Linked DNA regions of Saccharomyces cerevisiae S288C. Changing the gene in region 3 together with the main gene of any one other region gives a genetic interaction. Each region holds a gene or a part of one and is shown on either strand. Other genes may lie near its edges. The genes, in order: FRE3, MDS3 and CMR3.

Region 1 (3,758 bases), on a different chromosome or scaffold from region 3:
AGCCTCGAGTACGTTAAACCCTCTAACTGCAATCACTAATTTTATGAATTGTTTTCCAGTTGCCGCTGACGTTTTTCCAAGTTTAATGGCGTGTGCAATGGGCCCTGGCAAACCAGTACCTCCCGTAAGTAGCAAGACGTTATCATAATTATTGACTGGAGATGAAGAGCCATATGGACCTTCTATAGCTAGTCTCATAGATGCCTTACCTCCATTGCAACACACATACTTTTTGACAAGTTTTGTTACTCCCTTTTTTTCCTTCAGGATAATAGTCAGCTCACCATCTTTGATAATTGAATCTAAGACTGTGAAAGGATGTGACTGCCAAAAATACAGGTGGTGTAGGAATGAAACGAAAACATACTGTCCTGGTTTGGCTTTCCATAGCCTTACTGGTCGTTTGACTGTGACTCGAATGATGTCATCGCCAACTAACTGTAAGGAAGCCTTAGGGAAACCGAAATAAGATACTCTAACAATTCGAATTAGCCTATCAATAGTCCAGATAGCAATAGCAGCGTATATCCACTCAATCCCACTCAATTCTACGACGTGCTCCCAACACGTATAAAAGAACAATGCGCCAAGCACAATATGGAGAAATAAGAAGGCTTCATAGAAAAACTTTCTGAACATTGCCAAAGAAAAAAACACCATAACACCAACTATACAAAGAGCAGCTACTCCAAATTGCCAATATGTCTCTTCCTTGCTTGCTGCCCAATCTTTGTAGAATACGGAATAACTGGTATAAGCAGCGCCATGAATCACAGCATCTAAAAACATCATTCTTCCCAACCACTTATGAAACATTATGAAAGAGGTATATTTTACTCCAGAAATGAATTCTAGAAAATTGTTCCTTCCTGCGAAAAGAGCTATTAGGGGAAAATGTGCAAATGCCAGGACACCACTTCTATCTGCCACGTATCGAGCAATCTGTTCTCTACGAGAGTCGAAAATTAAGTTGTAAGGATCATATTGATACCCGTATGCCAGAAAAACTGTATGAAGCACGAGGTATCCAAGTATAATGACGCCTTCAGATCGTGTGGGAAGGAAGCCTGTAAAAATTTTAAGGTAAGAAAAGCTCGACGCATGTTTACCCCAGATAGTAGGTATTGTCAAATATCTTCTCACATATCTTACAAGTCTTTGTTTAAATAAGGCAGTTTTAAACGGAGTGTAACTTAGATAATGGAGTATGCTGGCAAGAATCATAACACCTACAAAATAGGCGCAAATAATACCACCATAAGTATGACCAATGTCGTAGTTGGCGTAGAAACCATGGTAAGAATAATAATAGTTTTCTCTCACTTGGGCATCCATCTCGATTGGATACGTAAGATTCGCGCTACCTTCAGAATACTGTATTATGTATGTTGTTCCATTATTCAGCATATTATAGAAATCTGCATTAGTCATATTCTGAAGGTTATCAGTGTAATATGCGCAGTCTTCTTTGATAGCAGCAAAGGTTTTTTCAAAGGTTCTATTGGAATAACCCTTTTCATTCAATGATTCGTAAATACAATACAACATTGACTGTAATGCCGGTTCATATGTACATGCTGGTGAGGAATATAAATCGTCACTACTATACTCCCAGGTTACTTCGCCGAGAACTCCCATGCAGGCATCTGTCAAAACCAGTGGTAACTTGCCGTACATTTTTGTCTTAGCAGGGGAGGCGCTTGCTCCTGACAAGCAGCATAACAAAATAGAACCACAAAGGAGGACCCAATACATTGTTTTCCTTGTGTCTTATAATTTTTGAATTGAGAACGTTCATCAGCAATTGAAGTTAATCATTCTCTTGCCACCTTATATAAGTTGCGACGAATCTTTTAATATAAACAATTGATCAAATTCTGTACATCTATGTCAAAGATGAAAGCTTCTGACAGCCAAAAAAAAGAGTCTTTCATCGCCAACGAATCAGTAGCTTTTGTTAGAATTAAGAAGTTTGGCTTTTCGCCAATTCTTTGAGATGAGGTACACCCACATTCCACGTAAAACTCAAATATCGGTCCAGGAAAATTCTCGAGTTCAATCACGTCACCAATAGTAATAATAATTGTGCTTCTCTTGACACTCGCAAGGGACTTATTCTTTACCATTCAAATTTTTCTCCTATTATACACCCGAAATAAAGGCAAAATGAGATATGGGTGCATTTTACAAAAGAGGTTGCAACTATCCCGTTCGCAGTGTAAACTATGATCTAGGGTCAACAAAGCGGTTAATTTGTCATAGTTCTTTGCAGCTTTTAATTCTCTGATATCTTTCCCTCAAAGTGTATTGTTTTCGTAACTTTAGATTTTATCTAAATGTTTCATTTCCGGCGCATTATTAGCAAAAGGGTGCTGTCTCCCTAGCTGCATTCCCAGACCGGAGGCACAGAATTCTGTAGTGATACTCTGTCATTACTTACTGCAGAAAAAGTTAAGTAGCCGCTCAGTACCTCTTAATTGAAATGAAAAATTTTCGTCGCTTATTTCCTGCTTTGTTTTTGAGTACGTTTCCAATCATTTTCTGGCGTACTTCGTGAAAGGGTAAAATTAAAATACTGAAAGCATTCATATGCTGATATAGTGCAGAAAAGCAATGAATGCTAACAACTTCCCGGATATCTGAGCAACTGGATTCGATCAGAAAAGGCACTTTTTACAGACGTACGTCAAAGCTTTTATCTTTTGGCTATCTTCGCCAACTCTATAAAAGGCTGTACTCCTATAATTAACTGATAAATAATTCCCGAATCATACTAGTATTTATTTTCTATGAGTTGTGCTAAACAACGACTTTTTGAAATGCAATATGCTGAAAAAATCACTTTTTAGTCGCAAAGTCAATTTTGGGTGATCGAGGGTTTTATCTTTTTATGCACATGTAATTCTTCCCAAGAAATAGGAATTTCTTCCCAGATGATATTTTCCAACACTGCTTCGTAGTTATAATAATCTTGCAATGCCAACCGTAAAATAGTAACGCATTTCTAGAAGAATTTCGCAATTCATTTTATATTTTTTAATCAAATGAGAAAAAAGTATAACGATTAAAAACTCTCTAACCATGTATTGGAAAAAGATGTTGCAACTTATGTAATATTCCTTGGCAGGGTTTCCGGGGCCTGTGCGCAACTTTAACGCCATTTTATGCAGGCCGAGCATTCTAAGCCTCAAAAAAAGTTGTATCTCCGAACCTGCCAATCTTTACTGTCGTACCAACCAAGGGTATGAAAAAAGCAAATAAGGCCTACAGCTTATTCAGCTTAGTATACTTCATCAGATTTATGATAAAATTTTTTTGCACTGATCCATCATTTTTTTATGGAACTGGTGGAGGAAGCTAGTTAAACCGCGAATTAAGTTAGGCGATGCGATGCGCCTACGTATTTTCAAAGTTTTACTGAAATTGGCTCAAAGCATAATTGTGATTGGAATGGGAAGCAATAAAAAAATGACTTTTGAAGTTTTCAGTTTGAATGACTTTCGATTAAATGTTTTTATTGATAATTGAGCGAAAGTGGTAGAAAGTATGTACTGGCTATTTTTCTTCCAAATATAGCCGAGACCGAACAAAATTTAAACAAAACAATTAATTAAATTATTCATTATTCATTATTCATATTAGAATATCAAGTTGTAAAAAGCTTGAAAGTCTTTTTTTTTAAAAAAAAAATAGACTGGACATGAGTCTTATAAATAAAGGGCAGTGAAAGAAGACTAGTGTATTAGAAGTGTATCCGC
Region 2 (3,758 bases), on a different chromosome or scaffold from region 3:
ACAGTGGAAGGATCAAGGTAAAAAGTATGAAACCGAGAATTATTCGCGACTTCAGGTTATCCAATCGTGTATGTAATCGTATGTAGGCAAAAGTAAATAGATATGAACTACATTTTCCTGCTTTACTTAGACTAGAGATGTGACCTCAAAGAATCTTCTCAAGTAGTATATCTGGAAAAGAGAGTTTGCAATAACGACGCCCAATTGGAAGATGGACCACCATTTAACACGATCGTTGGTCGACTCTGCAGTATTTCTATGCGTCCTTTCTCTAATAACAATATAACTTTGTTCGTCCTTGACTTCCCTGGTTAATTTGGACAACTTTCTGACAGCACTATCCAATGTATTGGTGTTTGGGTCGTCCAAATCCACATATACCACCCCATGAATGTTGAAAGTCACGTCTTTTGTCTCGATACCGGTGTTCTCGTTCAAGAAACAGTATTGGAAATGTCCCTTGTATGGAGCAGACAATGTGATTTCACCGTGCGACGTGTCCCTAACCGTTTTCAAAACTTCATGTCTTTCCGGCCCGTAGATGATAAAGTCACCAGTCAGCTGGCTACTGGATTGAGGGTTTCTATCACCGAACTGGAACGAAATGGAGAGCTCGTCACCCTTACTCAAGTCTTCGAAGAAGCATCTACGGCCATAAGCTGGAAGAAGGACATTATGGGCGGACGCCGAGAAGAACAGGAAGCAAGCAATGACAAACTTAGTAGCAAATGAGGCCATCCTTATGCGTGTGTATTTTTGTGCGGAGGGATACTATTAAGATTGCAGTTTCACCAAGTATAGCTTTTTATTTCATTATAAGTTTCGTGTCAAAATGTTTAAGCGACCCGATCTCTCAGGCTGTTTTGCACGACTTTTCTGACTTTCCTCGCGTCTTTTTTCATGAAAATTGGATTACCCGGAGTGATGATTTTCTCACAGTGATTTTTCGTCCCCTTTTACAATAGCAAATGAAGCTGTTTTAGCAATATTTGTAGAAAGATATGTCACAAGAGGGCAGGCAAAATGTCATACGGAAGAGAAGACACTACGATTGAGCCCGACTTCATAGAACCAGATGCACCTTTGGCTGCTTCCGGGGGTGTTGCTGACAACATAGGCGGAACTATGCAGAATTCAGGCAGCAGAGGGACGCTCGACGAGACTGTGCTGCAAACACTAAAGCGAGATGTGGTGGAGATTAATTCCAGACTGAAACAAGTGGTATACCCGCATTTCCCCTCATTCTTTAGCCCCTCTGATGACGGGATAGGGGCGGCTGATAACGACATTTCAGCCAATTGCGACCTGTGGGCGCCCCTTGCGTTTATCATATTGTATTCTCTATTTGTATCGCATGCGCGGTCGCTGTTCTCGAGCCTATTTGTGTCTAGTTGGTTCATTTTGCTGGTGATGGCATTGCATCTGAGACTCACCAAGCCACACCAGAGGGTGTCGCTGATTTCGTACATCTCCATTTCCGGGTATTGCTTATTCCCACAAGTGCTGAATGCCTTAGTCTCGCAGATACTACTTCCATTGGCCTACCATATTGGAAAGCAAAATCGCTGGATTGTGAGGGTCCTGTCGCTCGTGAAACTGGTGGTCATGGCGCTGTGCCTGATGTGGTCTGTGGCCGCCGTTTCGTGGGTTACCAAGAGCAAGACCATTATCGAGATATACCCTCTGGCACTCTGTCTTTTTGGCATGGCCTGGTTGTCAACTATTTTATAACACTAGTTACATATGTATAAAACCCAATATCATGGACATAGAATTGCCTATCTCGCGAGCCACGGCAGAAAGTTCTGAAAAAAAAAAAAAAGAGGACGCTCACAGGGGCTGGCGTGTGGCTAAGGCAGACTCCGTGGAGTGTAAGAGAAGTTCAAAGCAAGATTAGGCTTTCTGATGAATTGGTAGCGCAGAGTCTGGCAAAGTCTATTTCAAGTTCACAGCGTCCGTTTACCACAATTGTTTGAGAACTCTTCTCCTTCCTGTGCCTATAGCCACACTTGCAAACATTACATGGTGAAGGCGCTTTAGAGACTTTTCTGTTTTACTATATATATAAGATAACATAGCGCGCGTGCAAACCAAAGGACAAGTAACAATCTGCACCTGCTTTAGCGTAGTATGCCTTTATTACAACCATCCACTTGCTTCTGCTACCCTTTGAAGCTTCCGCCATTACCACTGACTTCCGATTCCAACGAGTTTGATGAATGCGCCAGGAAAAGGTTAACGCTGGACTATAGAACAGGTTCAGCGGTGACGCTAACAAGGTCTAATATATTTGTACATGGTGGTCTAACCATCCCGTTGAACCTGCCAGTTGTAAATTCTATGCAATTACAAAAGGAGCTTATTCTCTTTTTTGCAAAGGAAAAAAACAACGGTAGTTCTTTTAGGAATTTAAACGAGTGGATAAGTAAGGAGACGTTTTTCTTAGACTTGATGTCTAGAACCTGGTACAGAGTCAAGACCTCCTTTGACCAAAGGACAGAGGAATTATTAAAGGCAGAGAGTTCTAGCGCCAAAGCAGATAATGACACAAACGAGATTAGAACGGACATTAAGAAAGGTAAATCCCTTGAATCTCCGCTCAAGGAGAGGCTATTCCATTCCTTATGTTATTTAGATGGCTGTTTATATATATTTGGTGGTCTCACAGTGTCTCCTCAGAGCGGATATGAGTTGATTGCTACCAATGAGTTGTGGAAACTGGATTTAAACACGAAGAAGTGGTCGCTTTTGAGTGATGACCCTCAAATAGCGAGAAGGTTCAACCATACCATGCATGTAAAGAACGAAAATAACGATAATAGAGACACGAAATTAATAATTGTCGGAGGTCTTAATAACATGGATCAGCCGGTCAAGAAAATAGACATCTATAACATCTCACAGAATTGCTGGCAATCCGAAACCATACCCAAACAACCGATGGAAATCACTACAAATGTCAATGGCATACCATTAGCATTATCAAAGGATCAGAATTTTTCGATTTTAGTTGAAAATAATGAGGCCAACGTTCCAGCGCTGGCATTCTATATGAGAAGTGATCAAATAGACGAATATCTCGGAAAGGATTCATCAAAGATAAAGGAGAATTCGCCTATAGTGGCGTTGCCGCTATTGTCTGAATCGCAAGGTATTAGAATGCCCTCAAACCCGGCATTACCGAAAAAACTATTGAATGTTCCGTATGAGCTATTAGCACCGACAGGTGACTATTTTGGATTCAATATCATAATCGGTGGGTTTCATCCAAATTACCAATCCTCTAACTTTCATTGTTTTATATACGATATTAACTCCGGAAAGTGGTCACGAGTCGCTACCGCCTGCCCTGACTGCGATATCAATAAACATCGATTCTGGAGGGTATTTGTTTGGAAATCGCATCATCAGACGATTTTGTTGGGTACCAAGACTGATGATTATTATTCACCCAGTGTACAAAGATTCGACCATCTTTCCACTTTTGGATTACCGCTGGTAAATATTTTTAACAAGACGATCCAATTACCCCATCACAAGATCTCAGCTTCGTCTTTACCAATACCCATAGAAAATTTTGCGAAGCATAAGGATACTCCATTAAAAAAGGTGAGCTTCACTTCATCAGCTACCTCCCAATTTGAAAACTACATTAGATATATAGCTCCGCCCTTGGAAATGTCTTCTATCCAATCTGTGTTTCCACCGTATGCCATGGTTCTAGGTAAAGACGCTTTAGAGATTTACGGGAAGCCTCT
Region 3 (3,551 bases):
ATTCACTTGGCCTTACTGGCAATCATAATCATTTTGACGAACTGCGGACATCGAGAGTACCCTGCAAATATATCTAGAAAAAGAGGTAAAAAAATATTGAAGGGTCAACCTGAAAAAAATTGAAAAGTGAAAATAGATCTGCTGATAAATAATGCACGGCTTGCATCAAGTGATCACATGGAACTTTCCCAATACCTCAACTACGCATTTTCCCTTGCATATTATATCATCATCCATCTTCTTTGCCTCTCATATATTTACGAAATAATACATAAACATAAAAACGTCTTTGTGCGTCCAAGTAAACTTGAAGACGCACTCCCGTTATATAAAACTGGGAAGAACACTAACAAAGAAGGTGACTTGCGCTTAATTAGTTTTATTCCCTTGCTTCTAAAGTCCGTAAAACATTCTATTAGAGTCTATACATAGTTTTGCCTTACCTTTGAATATGAGTTCTAAAAATTCCATTGCAATAAAGCTTTCCGTTCCTATTGTTTCTATGTAGTGTTTAAGACTTTGTTTCTTTTCCTTTCATGGCTTTTCAAATGTCTCAGCATATTGCTTTTCACATTGAAGGATTTTGTGCAACCCTCCCAAGTACATTTGAAAGGAGTATCTCCCGTATGAATTAAGTAATGTGTCTTCAGCGTTGAGGGCCTCGAACAAATTTTTCCACATACTGGGCACTGCTTTCTCAGCTTTGTGGATGATATTCGGGTGTCAGTTTTCCAATCAGAAAATGTTGCTGAACCGTTCAACACGGCACCAGGTTCGCTTTTTGTTCTGCCGTTACTGGCTTCCTGCATGGTTGGAAGTACGCCATACCCAGGTGGGACTGATTTTGGCCTATCGTGGCATAGCTCTAAGGCAGCGTTTGGGTGACTCGCCATTGATATTGCAGTGAAGTTAGGTTCGGAGGCAATTGTTATTGGTTCTTTGTCGTATGGTGTCAATGGTTTATATACTGTTGGGACCATGACTGGCATCATCAAGGGAGCAGAGGAGGTCAAATGAGGAGACTGGCTATGTGGTATTGGTTGCTGACTTTCCGTATAGTAGATAGGATATTGATCAGATGTTGCGTTCATGGAAATTGGGGTGTAGATCTCATTAACAATGGGTACAACATTCATGCTTTGATAAACTTGCTGTGGAGGGAATTGAACCCTTGAATCTACGTTAGGTGGTGTATTATTTTCAAAATTAGGCAAAAGGGATGAAATTGGTGGTAAGTTTATTTTCGTACTATTATAACATTCCCGTTCATTTTTGTAGCTATTGTGGCCATAAAATTGAGTCCCCTTACCAGTGCTCAGCTGATCAACTGCGGACACTTGAAGGGGGAGGTTCGATTTATAATTGACTGTACACATTCCTATATTAGGAGATCTTGACTTGTCTGTATATGATGATTGTTTTTCTGAACTTTGCTTTGAAAGGGAAAAATTCATGTAATTTACTTTAGTGGCGTTTACTGCTATTTTTCGAAGGTAGGTGATGAACTTGTGTTATAACTAAGAAGCTCAAAACTAAAAGTATACTAATGTTTGAGGAATTATTGTGAAGCCATAGAACAATAAAAAGCTAACAATTGTATCTTTCGTTCAACTTGTCAAACCCTGACAGGCATATAAAAGAGGTATTTTGAAACATCAACATGTAGTAGTCACATATATAGCAAAATAGTAAGTAAGGAAAAAAAGAAGGCACAGAGAATACAACAATAATGATGAAGGCACACGACTGCCCTTTCCGGGCCACCTGCAGATCTGTAAGGTAGTTCAAATGACGTTCTCGCGCGGGTTTCTTACTTATGAAACTTTAGGGACATAAGTCGGGAACCTGATGCATCATTCTTTATCTTGTTTTTTGTTGTTGTTTGAGTTTCTTGTACAGAATAATACGCAGAATTAAAGCGGAAGTTAAAAAACAGATCGTCTTGATCTGCCCTCAAAACCAGTATCCACTGAAAACCTTATTTCCCACCGTAAATGGCAATCACTCGTAGCTCAAGGTGGAATGCTCCCGTAAGGATATTTCCTATATGAGATAGTCCCGATCCTGAGAAGAGGGATCGCCGTCATTTTATTCTTTAACCCCGAGAAACGGCATCTCTCACCTGATTGTTCTCAAGATTGCTGCAAAACCCAGATATACTTTTAGGTACGGAGCGTACGCGATGTATATGGATTGATTTTCACATGTATCGTTTATGAGTACTTGACTGCACCTCGTGTCGGAAGATTTTCCAATCGGGCTTTTTTTCAATCTTGAAGGCCCTCCTTTTCATTTCCATTTGCTCTGACATTGCGGCTATGCATCACAGGCAAAAGCTGAAAAGGAAATTTTGTAGCGTATCGGTTTACTGCACAGTCTCAGACCCTTTGTAGTACTGTTACCTGGAAGAATAGTAGGTGCGTACAACAGTGATTATGTAGTAGTATCTACTGAAGAGCCTACGAGCGAAAAAAAAAAAAATTATCGGCTACATTACGTTGTTTCCTACGGAGACAAGAACCAATATAAGCTGCAAAAAATCTATGAGCATTTTAAGTTTCCGATACAACAAGATGTATGCGTACTATTCACGTCGTGTTATATTGCTCACGTAACAACTTCTATGACAATAATAAAAAATAACCTTTCCATTGTATCATTAAGGTTATCTACGGAGGATTGTCAAACCTAGCGGATATGAAATGTACTTGATTCCTAATTCGGGTTTATTTAGAGTTCAGACTATGTGGGTCATTTCTTATGCTAATAATAGGCACTGAGGTAAGTCAAAATAGCGACACTCAATTACTGTTGAATGGGAAGAAAAAACCGAGAAAGGGATACAGAGATCTTGCCCACGCCTTTTTTTCAAAAAGAGCCCTTCGCAAGGTTGCTCAACGGGATTGTCATAGAAAGAAAAAATCAAAGCCAATAACTACAAGGCCAAAAGTAATGGTAGGGAGCTACTACAAAGTGGGCTCAGCCTACCTGAAGAAAATAAACAATTAATGGACAAGATCTGTTAGCGGACATACAAGAGATCAAATTACCTTCTGGTTAATGCTGTAGGCGAAGCAAACCATTCAATTGAGGAAACCTTATTCCCAATTGCGCTTTTGCTCCCTGGAAGCCTATAACAGCGTGTGGGCAAATAAAGTTGTTTTTCGCCCTCAGCGACTTTACTTCGGAAACTGAAGAGCGGCTAGAAATTTCGCAGAAAAGATTTTCCTTTGAGGATAGAAAAATGAAAAAAAGAAATTTATCTTTTTTCACAACAGGTGCTGCTTTTTCCTCACGTATGCACAGAATGCAAAGTACAAGATTTGTAATACGCGACTCCGCGCAGCTGTACTCTACTCCCAAGTCAGCGGAAAAAATGCAAGACATACAGAAAGTTGCCGCTTTATTGGCTATTTTTTTGGGCGACAGCCCTGGCTAGCCTCCTCATTGGGTTGTAGAGGAAACAAAACTGAGATGTCTTTGGACTAATGTCAGCAATAATAACTCGTAAAATCAAGTCAGAATTTCTATCCATTCAATAGGTATTCATT

The links.
Region 1: mutations in CMR3 (region 3) and FRE3 together harm fitness more than expected from each alone (negative genetic interaction), as found in Saccharomyces cerevisiae (one large-scale study listed by BioGRID).
Region 2: mutations in CMR3 (region 3) and MDS3 together harm fitness more than expected from each alone (negative genetic interaction), as found in Saccharomyces cerevisiae (one large-scale study listed by BioGRID).

Annotation. Positions count from the first base shown.
Region 1 is NC_001147.6:1,053,542-1,057,299, reverse strand, and holds the start of FRE3 (ferric-chelate reductase), read right to left. Parts: upstream 1,756-3,758; coding exon 1-1,755. UniProt on the Saccharomyces cerevisiae protein: Siderophore-iron reductase responsible for reducing extracellular iron prior to import. Catalyzes the reductive uptake of Fe(3+) bound to di- and trihydroxamate siderophores.
Region 2 is NC_001139.9:122,568-126,325, forward strand, and holds the start of MDS3 (Mds3p), read left to right. Parts: upstream 1-2,130; coding exon 2,131-3,758. Other genes in the region: EMP24 (Emp24p), read right to left, coding at 127-738; YIP4 (Yip4p), read left to right, coding at 1,024-1,731.
Region 3 is NC_001148.4:584,132-587,682, forward strand, and holds CMR3 (Cmr3p), read right to left. Parts: upstream 1,455-3,551; coding exon 501-1,454; downstream 1-500. Other genes in the region: YPR014C (uncharacterized protein), read right to left, coding at 3,058-3,387. UniProt on the Saccharomyces cerevisiae protein: Probable transcription factor involved in the regulation of the transcription of genes involved in cell rescue and defense, as well as cell cycle and DNA processing.